3 linked regions of the Saccharomyces cerevisiae S288C genome follow. The protein of the gene in region 3 interacts with the protein of the main gene of each other region in a biochemical or structural test. Each region holds a gene or a part of one and is shown on either strand. Other genes may lie near its edges.

The links.
Region 1: of the proteins of MIH1 (region 3) and YCK1, one has a biochemical effect on the other in vitro, tested with the Saccharomyces cerevisiae proteins (one study listed by BioGRID).
Region 2: of the proteins of MIH1 (region 3) and SGV1, one has a biochemical effect on the other in vitro, tested with the Saccharomyces cerevisiae proteins (one study listed by BioGRID).

The regions. Positions count from the first base shown.
Region 1 is NC_001140.6:372,194-376,546, reverse strand, and holds YCK1 (serine/threonine protein kinase YCK1), read left to right. Parts: upstream 1-2,236; coding exon 2,237-3,853; downstream 3,854-4,353. Other genes in the region: ARO9 (aromatic-amino-acid:2-oxoglutarate transaminase), read right to left, coding at 1-838; SPL2 (Spl2p), read left to right, coding at 1,447-1,893; metalloendopeptidase WSS1, read right to left, coding at 3,989-4,353. UniProt on the Saccharomyces cerevisiae protein: Casein kinases are operationally defined by their preferential utilization of acidic proteins such as caseins as substrates.
Region 2 is NC_001148.4:863,469-868,381, forward strand, and holds SGV1 (cyclin-dependent serine/threonine protein kinase SGV1), read right to left. Parts: upstream 2,955-4,913; coding exon 981-2,954; downstream 1-980. Other genes in the region: GPH1 (glycogen phosphorylase), read left to right, coding at 1-546; ORC4 (origin recognition complex subunit 4), read right to left, coding at 3,247-4,836. UniProt on the Saccharomyces cerevisiae protein: Serine/threonine-protein kinase component of the BUR kinase complex involved in transcription regulation.
Region 3 is NC_001145.3:340,950-345,373, forward strand, and holds MIH1 (putative tyrosine protein phosphatase MIH1), read right to left. Parts: upstream 2,572-4,424; coding exon 907-2,571; downstream 1-906. Other genes in the region: IMP2 (endopeptidase catalytic subunit), read left to right, coding at 193-726; stress-responsive transcriptional activator MSN2, read right to left, coding at 3,454-4,424.

The sequences.
Region 1 (4,353 bases), on a different chromosome or scaffold from region 3:
GGTTTTCTAATGGCTCTTGCGGATTATAGGAAGGAAAGTACAGATAACCGTAGGGATCATCTTCAACAATGAGGAAATCGTGTCTTTGGGCCAACTGGTAAATTTTCTCTCTTTTCCACTGGGGGACAGACATCCCGGTAGGATTTTGGCCCGTTGCAATGGTATATAGGACCCTTGGCTTGTTTAAGTCTTTGTATGGTCCAGTTGACCAATTATCGAGCAACTGCGTTAGATATTCGACATCAATACCCTGGGACTCTCTGTCGAAGGTCAGGTTCATCTTGATGGGGATGACTTTTGCTCCTGTAGCCTCCACATTGGACATAGCCGGGGTGAAAGTAAACTCTTCAATCATCACAGTGGTCGATTCGTCGCAAATTGTTTCAAAAACCTTAAACATTGAATCGTTGGACCCGCCAGAAAGGATGACATCCCAGTTAGACTCCGTCTCATCGGAAAAGGCTGGGCGATTAATTCTGGACACAAAATCTTTAACAAAATGTAAGAGAGGGGGTAAACCCTTGGTTTCTGCATATTGGAAAGAACGTGCAATGGGTAGCTCACTGGGGGATCCCAAGTCCAAATGCGCCGTGGTAAACGAATTATGCCATTTTGGGTTATCATTAAAAGGAACTTTTGATATTTTCAAATCCATAGATTCGATAGGAAAAAATCTCTCGTTTGGCATTCCACCAGCTAGCTCAATGACGTCATCTGAGATATCAGAAGCATCCCAAAAGCTTTTCAGAGATCTATTTTCTACTCTTCTGGAGAGAAACGGTTGGAAGTTCTTCTTTAAGGAAGTGTAATCAACAGGGGGGGCAGAACCAGCAGTCATTGAGTCGATGAGAGAGTGTAATTGTGGTATGTGTGTATTTTTATGTTTACACTGGGATATTACAAGACCAAATCAAGCTTTTTCCTTTATATATATCAAATATTTATAATGTTTCCTACCCCAATGATGGTTCGGTTATCCGCGGCAAATCTCGGTAAGCATCGGCAATGCTTCCGCGAGTTACCGCTTTTTTTTTTTTATTCCTTTGTTATTATCTACGGCCGTCGGCGGCAATAGTATTTTTGCTCACGTGACCGACAAGGGTCCATTTTATTGCGGTACGGCTCTCTCTTTTTTTTTTTCTCCTCTTCAACTTCTCTCTGATTGCAAACAATATATAACATAACCATGTTCATTACGTACGAAAATATATATACATAAATGCATGGCAGTTATGGCAATTACAACTACAACGCCGTAAAGTTCCAAACGCAGCGGCCTGAGATAGTAAATGATGTACGCACGTGGGCGAAAGTTCATTACTTTGACTGTTGTAACATACCGTATCTCTCTTTTCCCACGTGCTCCGCTCTCTTATCTACCTTGGCGGTACAGCCCTGCGCGGAGTCACTGCAGCCACGTGCCTAGATCTATTACTATGACTTCCCATGGGCACATATACGCCATTAATATACAATATATATAACGTTCATATATGGGTATTTACAGAGAGCCAGGGGCAAATTGGACAGATGTCTCCACGCGGCAAAATGGAAACAGCAGTTTCACAAGGACAACACAAACAACTTAAAGATGGTCACCAGCATAAGGGAAGAAAACTCTCCGAGGAGATCGCTTCTCTATTGAGGCTCAAAGAGTGCAGGAGGCTCAATCCTGCTAGTTACTATACTCCACGTAGAACATCGCAGTCACAATCTCTCAGTGGATCAACTTTTAAAGAGTATAACGAGTACATTAATGAGAAAGATTCAAGTAGAGCGCAGCGTCAAAACGCTGCCGCCGTTTTAAGCAAGCTCGCCCATGACTTTTGGGAGAACGACTGTGTCATTGACGAAGACATATTCGAAGATTCGTCTGACGAAGAACAATCATGATTGCATCTCTTAATCGTTACACATACATACCTTCTACCTCTGTACTGTTACATATGCATTGACTTTACGATCTAATATAAATCCTTTTGATGTTACCCCGCCTGTGGGCTCGTTCTCCTTTCGTTTCTTACGATTTTTTCGCCGGAACAAGAAAAAACAGAACAAAACAAATCAGCGATCGTATACATGGGTCTTTGATTTCTGCTTGCTTCTTACAAACAACAAACGCAAACCGTTCATTGAGTGCTCTGTGACTGGTTTTCATGTGGATGCCATAGTAGAGAAAAGACACATACAAAAATTTCGCGCATTCGCTGGCCCTTTTCCTGCTCTCCTCTTCCCCATGTCCATGCCCATAGCAAGTACCACTCTAGCAGTTAACAACCTCACCAATATAAACGGAAACGCAAATTTTAACGTACAAGCAAACAAACAACTCCACCACCAGGCTGTCGACTCGCCCGCAAGATCTTCGATGACCGCCACGACCGCCGCCAACTCCAACAGCAACTCTTCCAGAGATGACTCTACTATTGTCGGCCTACATTACAAGATCGGCAAAAAAATAGGGGAAGGTTCCTTTGGTGTGCTATTTGAAGGTACTAATATGATCAATGGCGTACCCGTCGCGATCAAATTCGAGCCCAGAAAAACGGAGGCCCCTCAATTAAGAGATGAATATAAAACATATAAAATTCTGAATGGCACTCCCAATATCCCCTACGCGTACTACTTCGGCCAAGAAGGTTTGCACAATATCTTGGTCATTGATCTTTTGGGTCCCTCTTTGGAAGATTTATTTGATTGGTGTGGAAGAAAATTTTCTGTCAAAACGGTTGTGCAAGTTGCTGTCCAAATGATTACTTTGATTGAAGACTTGCACGCACATGACTTGATATACCGTGATATCAAACCAGACAATTTCTTGATTGGAAGGCCCGGCCAACCTGACGCAAACAACATCCATTTGATCGACTTCGGTATGGCCAAACAGTATCGTGATCCGAAAACTAAACAGCACATCCCATATAGAGAGAAAAAATCACTCAGCGGCACTGCCAGATATATGTCCATTAATACTCACCTTGGAAGAGAGCAGTCCAGAAGAGATGATATGGAGGCCTTGGGTCACGTTTTCTTTTATTTCTTGAGAGGCCACTTACCCTGGCAGGGTTTAAAAGCTCCAAACAATAAGCAAAAATACGAAAAGATTGGTGAAAAGAAAAGATCTACTAACGTTTACGATCTAGCTCAAGGCTTACCTGTGCAATTTGGCAGGTATCTAGAAATCGTCAGAAGTCTTTCCTTTGAAGAGTGTCCCGATTATGAAGGCTATAGAAAACTATTACTATCTGTACTGGATGATTTAGGTGAAACCGCGGACGGCCAATATGATTGGATGAAACTGAACGATGGCCGTGGTTGGGATCTTAACATAAACAAGAAGCCAAATCTCCACGGATACGGCCATCCAAATCCACCAAACGAAAAATCGAGAAAACATAGAAACAAACAGCTCCAAATGCAACAGCTCCAAATGCAACAGCTCCAACAACAGCAACAGCAACAGCAATATGCTCAAAAAACTGAGGCAGATATGCGCAATTCTCAATATAAACCAAAGTTAGACCCTACTTCTTATGAAGCTTACCAGCATCAAACCCAGCAGAAATACCTGCAAGAACAACAAAAGAGACAGCAGCAACAAAAACTTCAGGAGCAACAACTTCAAGAGCAACAATTGCAACAGCAGCAACAGCAACAGCAACAGCTACGTGCAACAGGCCAACCTCCATCTCAGCCTCAAGCGCAAACTCAATCTCAGCAGTTTGGCGCTCGTTATCAACCACAACAACAACCTTCTGCTGCTTTAAGAACTCCTGAACAGCACCCAAATGACGATAATTCAAGTCTAGCTGCTTCTCATAAGGGCTTTTTCCAAAAATTAGGTTGTTGCTAAATATAGAAATGACATTTTTTGCAAGACTACCGTCTTTCTTACATTTTTTGTAATGTGAATATATCTGTATACTTTACAACCGAAACGACATTTACCATACTTATAATTTTCGAGTTCTTCGCTGTGGACAAGAGATTAAGTGAGATCAATAACTTCGATAAGAGTATCTCCCGGGAGTACCTCGTCATCATCATCAAGGATTACAACTTCTAAGGAGCTGCTAATATTATCACTTATTATTTGATCTTTGTTATTCTTCGTCTCTCCGCACCAGCGATCATCTCTATATCTCCTTTCGGCTGCAAAAGCCGCCAACTCTCTCGGGGAATTACCTCTATCTATAGATGATATACCCTCTGGATGCAAACTCCCTAACTTCACACCTTTGCCCCTTTTTCTCACTATCCCTGTGTTAGTACTTATTCCTGTCATAGGATATCTATTTGAACGTAAGTTTGCTCTTCCACCGAGACGTTGACCGTTCCCCAAAAATGTGTCGT
Region 2 (4,913 bases), on a different chromosome or scaffold from region 3:
TCTAAGGCTGAAATCATTATTCCAGCAAGTGACTTGAGTGAGCATATTTCTACTGCTGGTACTGAAGCGTCTGGTACTTCTAATATGAAGTTTGTTATGAACGGTGGTTTGATTATTGGTACTGTTGATGGTGCCAATGTGGAAATCACAAGGGAAATTGGTGAAGATAATGTCTTCTTGTTTGGTAACCTAAGTGAAAATGTCGAAGAATTGAGATACAACCATCAATACCATCCACAAGATTTACCATCTAGTTTGGATTCTGTTTTATCCTACATTGAAAGTGGACAATTTTCTCCAGAAAATCCAAATGAATTCAAACCTTTAGTCGACAGTATTAAGTACCACGGCGATTATTACCTGGTCAGTGATGACTTTGAATCCTATCTGGCCACCCATGAATTAGTGGACCAGGAGTTCCACAATCAAAGGTCAGAATGGTTAAAAAAGAGTGTCCTGAGCGTTGCAAACGTCGGCTTCTTTAGCAGTGATCGTTGTATCGAGGAATACTCCGATACCATTTGGAACGTTGAACCAGTGACTTAGCTGGGAGTTTTTTTTATCTCTTTGGCACCCTTCTCCCCATTTCTAGTAAGCGCTTTTTTCTCTTTACTTCTTCTCTTATATAAAACGCCTTTAAAATAATCGTTATCGGTTTTTTGGCACTCTTTTAAATGGTATATATGATGTTACAGGAAAACTTAGTTGTTTTCATATTGAAAATCCGCGCAGGATAACGCTTGTGTAAAACCGAGTGTCCTGAAGGTGGGTAAGGCGGTCCTTATTATCACTTACTCGAACGTTGACATTGGTACAGTCCCTATCAGGTAGGATGTACTGACGTTTTGACAATAGTTTCGATTTTATGGATTGTTTGAAAAGAGCGAGACAGTGACAAAACGTGATAGATTACATAGTAGTCAGTATACAACTTTCCGTAATTAGCCACGAGGCCAGAAAGGAAGAGAGAATAGTATAACCTAATATAGATCTGCAATATCACTATTTTGGAACTCCTTAGACTCATCTGGTTTCGCTCTTTCATCCTTAAAGCTTCCATTTTTTTTCTCTATTGGTTTACTCGTAAGCTGATGCTGCCCCTGTGAGGGCGAGATTGGGAATTGTGGATGAGAAGGTCTCGAGCCTTGATGATGATCACCAGCCATATTGCGAGAACCGTTTGAAGGATTATAATTTTTATTGATTGGCGCATTGGATTCTTGGCGACTATATTTCTGTGGTTGCCTATTGAAGTTGGTTTCCGGCTTGTTCACGTACCTAGGGTTATGATATCTAGAGTCATTTGGCGAGTTTTTGTACCGGGACTCATTTGAATTACCCTGGTATCTTGACTGAGGCCCCAATGGCAAAGGTACTTTATTATATTTAGAGCTGACATTTGTCTCAGGATGAAATCGATTTACGGGATTCCTGCTGTTGTTGGGTGCAGTGCTGTTGCCGCTGAAGCGATTATTTCTGGAACTATTGTTGGGTCCGTATCTATTAACTCCTGCAGGGGCTGCTGGCGGTGGAATCGCAGTTTTAGCATATCCGCTGTTCACATGATACGGTCTAGGATTTTGATGTAGTTCTCTTATTTTCGAAGGAGGCGGCTTAGCCAATACGTTCTTTGATGGAGGCAAAAAACTTGCGTCATCTTTCTTGGGGCCTCTTGGGATCGCCCCAAGATTTTTCACGACAGGTGATTCACCCTTTTCAACTATATGACCTCTTGGCGCAGTAGGTACTCTTTGGGACAATGATTGGTGCATTTCTTCCTTGTACCTCTTAATATCAGCTTCATGACTTTCTTCCGTCGGTAATGTTATCTTCTCTGATGGTAAAGGGTCCTCTTTAAACCAAGGATGGTGTTTAGCAGACATAGCGGTCAACCTCTTGTAAGGATCTAACGCTAACAACTGTCCTAAAAAATCTAGACCTGTTTCACTTAGATATTTACCAAATCTTTCCCTCAACGTTGGCTTGTAATTAGTTGTTGTTAGTTCAGCACCTGGCAAATATCTAGCCACGGCCCAATCTTCTTCTGTCGGTGTACCAAGTAGTTTGAAAATAACATGTCCCTGATCAATATCCGTTTTTCCCTGTAAAATAGGTTTTTTCTCAAAAAATTCTGCGAAAACGCATCCGACACCCCATATATCAACAGCTGTTGTATACTGTTTATCACCAAGCACCAACTCAGGTGCTCTATACCATCTCGTTACGACTACTGATGTATATTTGGCGCCGGAACCTGCACCACCAGGATACTTTAAGTTTGGAGGACAGCCATAATATAATCTTGCTAAACCAAAATCAGCAAGCTTTAAAACACCGTTGTGGTCAATCAAAATATTTGCTGTCTTTATATCCCTATGCATGAATTTTGCACAATGAATATAATTTAGGCCTTCTAATATTTGTAGCATCATATTCTTTATATCGCACATCTCTAAGTTGATTCTCGGATTATGCAAAACGCCCGACAGATCTGCTACCATATACGGCAGGATCATGTAGAATGACTTATGTAGGTTGCTGGATGCCGCATTTGTAATATCCGGTGAATGGTCATACACCATTTCGATTAGTTTAATAATATTTTTGTGGTTTAAACGCTTTAAAATAGTAATTTCTCGTTGTGCAGTTATAGGAAACAGATCTTTTTCAACGCTAACTATAATTTTTTTCATTGCCACTTGTCTTTGAGTCTCTAAATGAATTCCCTTATAAACCTCACCAAATGTTCCTTGTCCTAATTTTTCATCCTCACGATAATGATTCTGGAAAACTGTACACCCGTAAACTTTCTCACTACTTCTTTTTCTTAGTTTGATGTATGTTAAGTTAGTCTTCGCATCTCGCTGGATGGCTGGTGTACTCTTCACTTTGCCGATTTTGTATTTATTAAATTCGGTTTTTGGAAGAACCGCGGGGGAACCATTATCACTCATATTATTTTACTGTTATTCTGCTTGACCACGAATGTACTGCTAATACTATACAATTTCTTTTGCTGGTGTTTGGTAATATTTCTTTTCACCATTGTTAATTTCTCTCTCTACATTGCCTATGCTCTATTAAATGCATATGTGAATTTTTCAAATTCACAGAGGTTTGGTGTATGGGTGTATTTCCGTTCGACGCGATGACCACATAATCTTGAACTTACTTATTAGGAAAGCTGAACAGTGGAATATCAGAGTTGCTACCGCCAATAAAATGTCTGTATATTGTTCCCAAGATTCACAGTTGTGTCCAGGAGTAGTACATATTAGATTTGGGGATAATTCTTCTTAATTCCTGAAGAATGATCTGCATCTGGTAACTTCTCAAGTCAAACGGGATCATGGTGCCCTGAAATTGATAATTGCTAGCGTAAAATGCTGCGGTCGCATTATCTCTCAAACCAACGGCTGATTTCTCGGTAAAAAAATCCAGTTGCACTAAATTTTCCCAAACGTTCTTGACGTCCTTTTTCAACCATAGTTTGATAGTATTGTCGATAGAAAAAGTACTTTGACCTGTTCCCACATTTGTAGTAGGAGCCACGGTGGGAATTCTGGAGTTGATAGCTTTAATCATCTTTTCATACTCTGCATAAGCTAAATTAAAATTAAAAGATCCGTCTTTCGCCCTTAAGGCAACCCTAGCGGCTGAGATCAAAATGGCTAACTCTAAATCGGATAAAGATTGGAGCCTTCCTGTTAAATTATTAGATAGTTGGTTCTTATTGTATATGTCAAGAAAAGAACACGATTTTATGGCAGTGCAGAGTGAACCAAAATTTTTGGATGTCGCTACTAATGGAATTATGCTATTTTTCAATGTAGGTAATGACCTAAAGGTTTCGAAATTCATCCTAATATGTCTATTCAAATTCGATCGAGGGTCGGATAGTTCTTTTTCCAACGTTTCATTCCATTGTGAAACCCAGGGGGAGATTTCAGAGCGAACTGTAAGTAAATTTCTGACGGCGTCAACCATATCGTCTAGATTCTGTATTTGCGGCATATAAATCACTCTTTGAGAAAATCTACTCTTTACCCTCTTTTCTAAATATTCCAAGATATTTAATTTCGTTGTGCAGCCAAAAATGCAAACAGGTACCCGAGAATGTTCTACCATGTCAAAAAGATTGTATAATAAAGTTTGCCTCACAGGCCCAGCAAATGTATCAATTTCATCGAATATAAAAACAACTGTTATCTTTGTTATACTCTCTCTGTCAACCTCACCACTATCTTCATTTCTTGTCTTCGTGGTCGAATCTAAGAGTAAAAGAATTTTCTCAAACACTTCTGTCAAAGAACCACTGCTAATAGTCTCTAATGAAGTATCGTCAATTTTTTCTTCACTGCCATGAATTTTCTGCAACTGCTGTTCCAATTGAGTTGCTATACCGTTAATAGCTGTTTGTTCGGAGTGAATAAACCCATTCAACCTGATAGTTATAAACTGCTCTTTATAAGATTGTTGCAACAAAGACAGTTCATAGTCTAATAAGTATGTTTTGTAACTTTGTCTGGGCCCCACGAGAATTACTGAATGACTCTCTTTCTGAATAATGGATTGTTTAATGATTCTATCGATCTCTTGTTGACAATCTTGTAAATATGTGAAGATTATCTTTTCGTCCGTAGGAAGTGTGCCATAAAGTTGCTGCAGTAACCTTCTTTGAAGGGAACCAAAACCAGGGTCGCTGTCTTTACACTTTTCATTATCTATAGTACGCTTTTTTAGAATCGCTGCAGTCTCCTCTACCTCTTCGTTTGAGTGCCTCTTTATTGGGAGAAGATTGACTTGCGGTGATAGACGAGCTTCGCTTATAGTCATGCTTCTTCTTTTGAATATTACCGATATTAGTAGTTTATATTTGATATTTCTATCAGTATTATTTAGATTTTTTTTTT
Region 3 (4,424 bases):
GAGCTCAGACTTACGGGTAGACCAATGTCATCGAAATACTGTGGAAGATCAAGCTCGGAAGGAGAGCGAGGCTAAGTTCCGAGCTACTGAAAAAAATGGAAAAAACAAGTGCCTTAATTGAATGACTAGATGGGTGCTTGTTAACGAAGGCGTGCTGCTATTCATGAAGCTGTTGCATTGTACTGTACAGTAATGTTTCGAGCCGGATCATCAAAAAGATTCTTACGAAACACACTAATAGCAATTTCATGGGTTCCGGTACTTCTAACAATCAATAATAATGTGGTCCATATTGCGCAAGTTAAAGGTACCTCTATGCAGCCTACGCTGAACCCGCAAACGGAAACGCTGGCAACAGATTGGGTGCTGCTTTGGAAGTTTGGAGTCAAGAACCCAAGTAATTTATCTAGAGATGACATTATCCTTTTCAAAGCTCCTACAAACCCTCGGAAAGTTTACTGCAAAAGGGTTAAAGGTTTACCGTTTGATACCATTGACACGAAGTTTCCATACCCTAAACCTCAAGTGAACCTGCCCAGGGGACACATATGGGTCGAAGGGGACAATTATTTTCATTCGATTGATAGCAATACTTTTGGCCCCATTTCCAGTGGGTTGGTCATAGGGAAAGCTATAACAATTGTTTGGCCACCCTCCAGGTGGGGAACGGATCTCAAACTGAGTACCGGTAGAGACTGCATTAGCAAAAGAGCCATTTTAGAATGAAAATCAGCTTATTTTTATGAATTTAGAAGTGACCCCGGTATTCAAATGCAAATTTTTTATATTATGTGATTAATCTAATGCAATAAATATAGATGATTGTGATTTATGTATTGATGTTGTTGCCGTTCGGTTCCTGAATATATACTTCTTTTTTTCATAATACTTCATGCACATGTAGTATCATTTTTTATCTTCAGTCTCTAGAGAAGGGAATAACGATCTTCTTGCGGGCCTGGGTAAATCTTCTCGGTCGGAACCAACGAAAGTAAAATCTCCGTCTTGCTCTTCATCTCCACTTACTTGCTGATGATTGCCTCTCTCATCTTCGAAACTAAAATATGATGGGGTATCCAGTCCGTCCATTAGTAGCATATGTGAAGTGCTTAGGTTACTGTTACTACTCATAGACGACTTACTTAAGATGGGGAAGAAATTTTCGTCGCCTGTACTCTCACTTGAATTTAATGATGAACCACTAGAGACTCTTCTGTGGTTTAATGACAGCTTCGGAGGCGGCTCAAACCTGAACGATAGTGCAGAAGATGCCATTGTTGTTGAAGATTGATGGCTATCTCTATAAAAGAAGTTAGGATTTGAAGGGGAAGCTAGTTTTCTAAAAGAATTATTTTTAGTAGCAAATCTTTTAGATTCTCTCCTAAACTTATCCATTTCTTGTTCACAATTCAGCAAATTTTCTTGTGAGTTCATTCCCACGTACTGACGTGGATAACATAGTTCAGGAAAATTGTCAAAAACAGCTTTGTATCCGCCATCCAATATCAATATGTCGGGATAGAATAATTTGGGATAATGATCCTGATTTATTATACGATCACAATTTCTCAAATGAGAGGCCAATGAAGGTCCCCGGTGGGAACTAAATTCGCAATGGATAATTAAAAGAGTTGGTAGAGTGTTGTTGTTGCTAGTATCGCTATGCAAAACTTTATGGATAAATTCGTACTCTAACTCATCTCTCGAGTGTATGTTAACGGAGTTTATTATGTGGCCGCCAGTATATTCGTATTCAAACCGACAATCTATAATACGACATGAATTATAAAATGACTCGCACATATTATTCTGCAGAATATTTTTCAACGTTTCTGGAGAAATTCGAGGGAAAAAGTCATTTGAGTTACGATCGTCATAATAATATGGTATCTGTGTTTTGGCTAGGCATGATTCAAAACATTTCACCCCTACCGAATTAGGAGCTAGTGGACTGGATGACGCAGACGTGAAGTTCAAAGTATTCTGAGTAATGTTAGAAAATTTCTGTGAACTTTTTCTCGATGACCTCGGAATTTTCCCATCTTGCCGTTGCACCCTCCTGCTTGAATTGCTACTGCTATTCATGCTTGGCTTTCTCGACAAGGACCTTGACCTTGAAAAAGAGCTCGACCTCTGGGGACTGCCAGGATACTTGATTCTACTTAAAAGATCATTATCCCTATTATTGGTCAAAGATCTTCTTGATGAGTTTCTTGTTGGACTTTGTAAGGTTTGAGAAGCAAAATGCATGCTTAAGACTATATCATCATTTTCATTTTCATTTTCATCTAACTCATCGCGATGGCCAAGCTGCTTTATATTCGGTGAAGGACCATCAATTTCCTTACTCCTGTGATTTGTTAACAATGGAGATTTATCAAAGGCAAGATTCTCTTTATTGATTAAATCATCGTCGACATTCGAATGTTTGCTTTTTGACTTAAAGAAGGTCTGAACATTTCTAAATATGTTCTTCTTCTTACCAAAGGGACTTTTCAAGGAAATTTTTTGGAAACTAAGAACGTCTTCATTGGCACATTCATCTTCAGTTCCATGAAATATATTGTTCATGGTTTCTTCACCCTCGCTGACTTCAATCCTGGTTTGTCCACTGCTCTGTTTATCTTTTGTCTCCTTTCAAGTTAACTCTCTTTTCTTTGTTTTCGCTTGTAACTTTAAGTTTTCTGATATACGGCATCGAAACAGGGAAAAAACAGATAAAGCATAAAAAAGAAGGAAATAACAGAGTGTAACTGTTGGGGAAATATCATAATGAGAATATTTAAACGCCGGAACAATGTATCAAAAAGGGCTTTACCGCTAATAAGTGGAGTATCTATGCTTTTTTGACGTATACAATGGACAGAAAAAGCGCCATATAAAACATTGAAGCCCCTCTTCATCCTTAGTCCTGAAAATGAGGCCTAGGAAATTAAGTATTCGGCAAAGATACATAATACAGTTCTAAAAGTAGCAAACTGGTAGATACTATTTGTGGCGCAGTTAGCTACCCCAAAATAAAAACGGTAATCTTCTCCCATTAGGGGCACCCCTCTTGCTTTTGTACGATGTGGTATCTTCGATTTTCAAACTGACAGGCATATTGCACAGCATAATGCGCACGGAATTCATTAAACTGTACGGATATATATATGATATTACGGTGCCATATGATATTATACAATATTATACTGTACTGTACTATATTATATTATATTGTATTAATTATATTATACTATACCCTATCATACCAAATATTTTGGCTATATTAATTTTTATCTACGTGTATCTAAGTTGTTACAGGCGGGGGAACTGAATTCCTTCAAAATGTGAAGGTACCGGAAAAATGGCAAAGAATCATGATAATAATAACAATAAGCCGTAAGCTTCATAAGTCATTGAACAGAATTATCTTATGAAGAAAGATCTATCGAATTAAAAAAATGGGGTCTATTAAATGTCTCCATGTTTTTTATGAGTCTTGATGTGTTGCGACAAATTATCGCTTCTACTAAATTTCTTATCGCATATGTGACAAGCAAATGGTCGTTCGTTAGAGTGAACAGATCTCACATGCCTTTTCAAATGTTCGCTGCGCTTAAAGCTCTTGGGACAAATGTGACAGTGGAACGGTTTCTCCTCGAGTTCCTTTGTTGATTCTATTACGACACTTGATCTTCTGGACGGTGTCATTGATTTTCTCCTGTAACTTGGCCTTCTTTCCTTCGTAACCCCAGCACCATTGCCAGTTGAGTTGACACTACTACTGCTTATATTATTTTGTTGATTTGTAAGCGGCACCGTACCCATCAAAGGCACAGCAGACTTCCGCCTCCGAAGGGAAGAACCGATTTTAGAGTTCATGGTATGGTGACCCTGCTGTGGGAAATGGTGATAGAAATGATTTGTTGCAAGAGACGTGGAGGATGATGATGCAGGCGATAATGGAGCCATATTCATTTGAGTGATGGAAAGATCGAAATTTGGAGTAGAATTAGCATTTTGTTCACCTTCCTCTGTCAAAAATGGCATATCATTACTCAAGCCTGTAGTCGCCACTTTCGCAATAACGGACGCATTGTCTGAAAGAATCATAGACGGTTTGATAAATTGTTGAGATGAACTCAAATTTGAATTCGGCAGCATATCGTTCTTGGGGTCTTCATCCTGCTTATTAACCAGGTCGTAGCTTAGTGAATCATCGATTATGGGTAAAGAAGCTCTTTGCCTTCTTGAATAAAGATCGCTGTTGAAGGATTTCATGTTAGTGCTACTGTTATTATGTGACGAGGTGAGCTGCTTGTGTTGAACTCGGTTTAGCTGTTGCTGTAATTGCTGACTTGGATTTATCTTTGTCATAGCATTGGCATCAAAAGAACTTGGGCAAGCAGATTTGTTCTTGCCAGAAGTGGATGTGCCCAAAT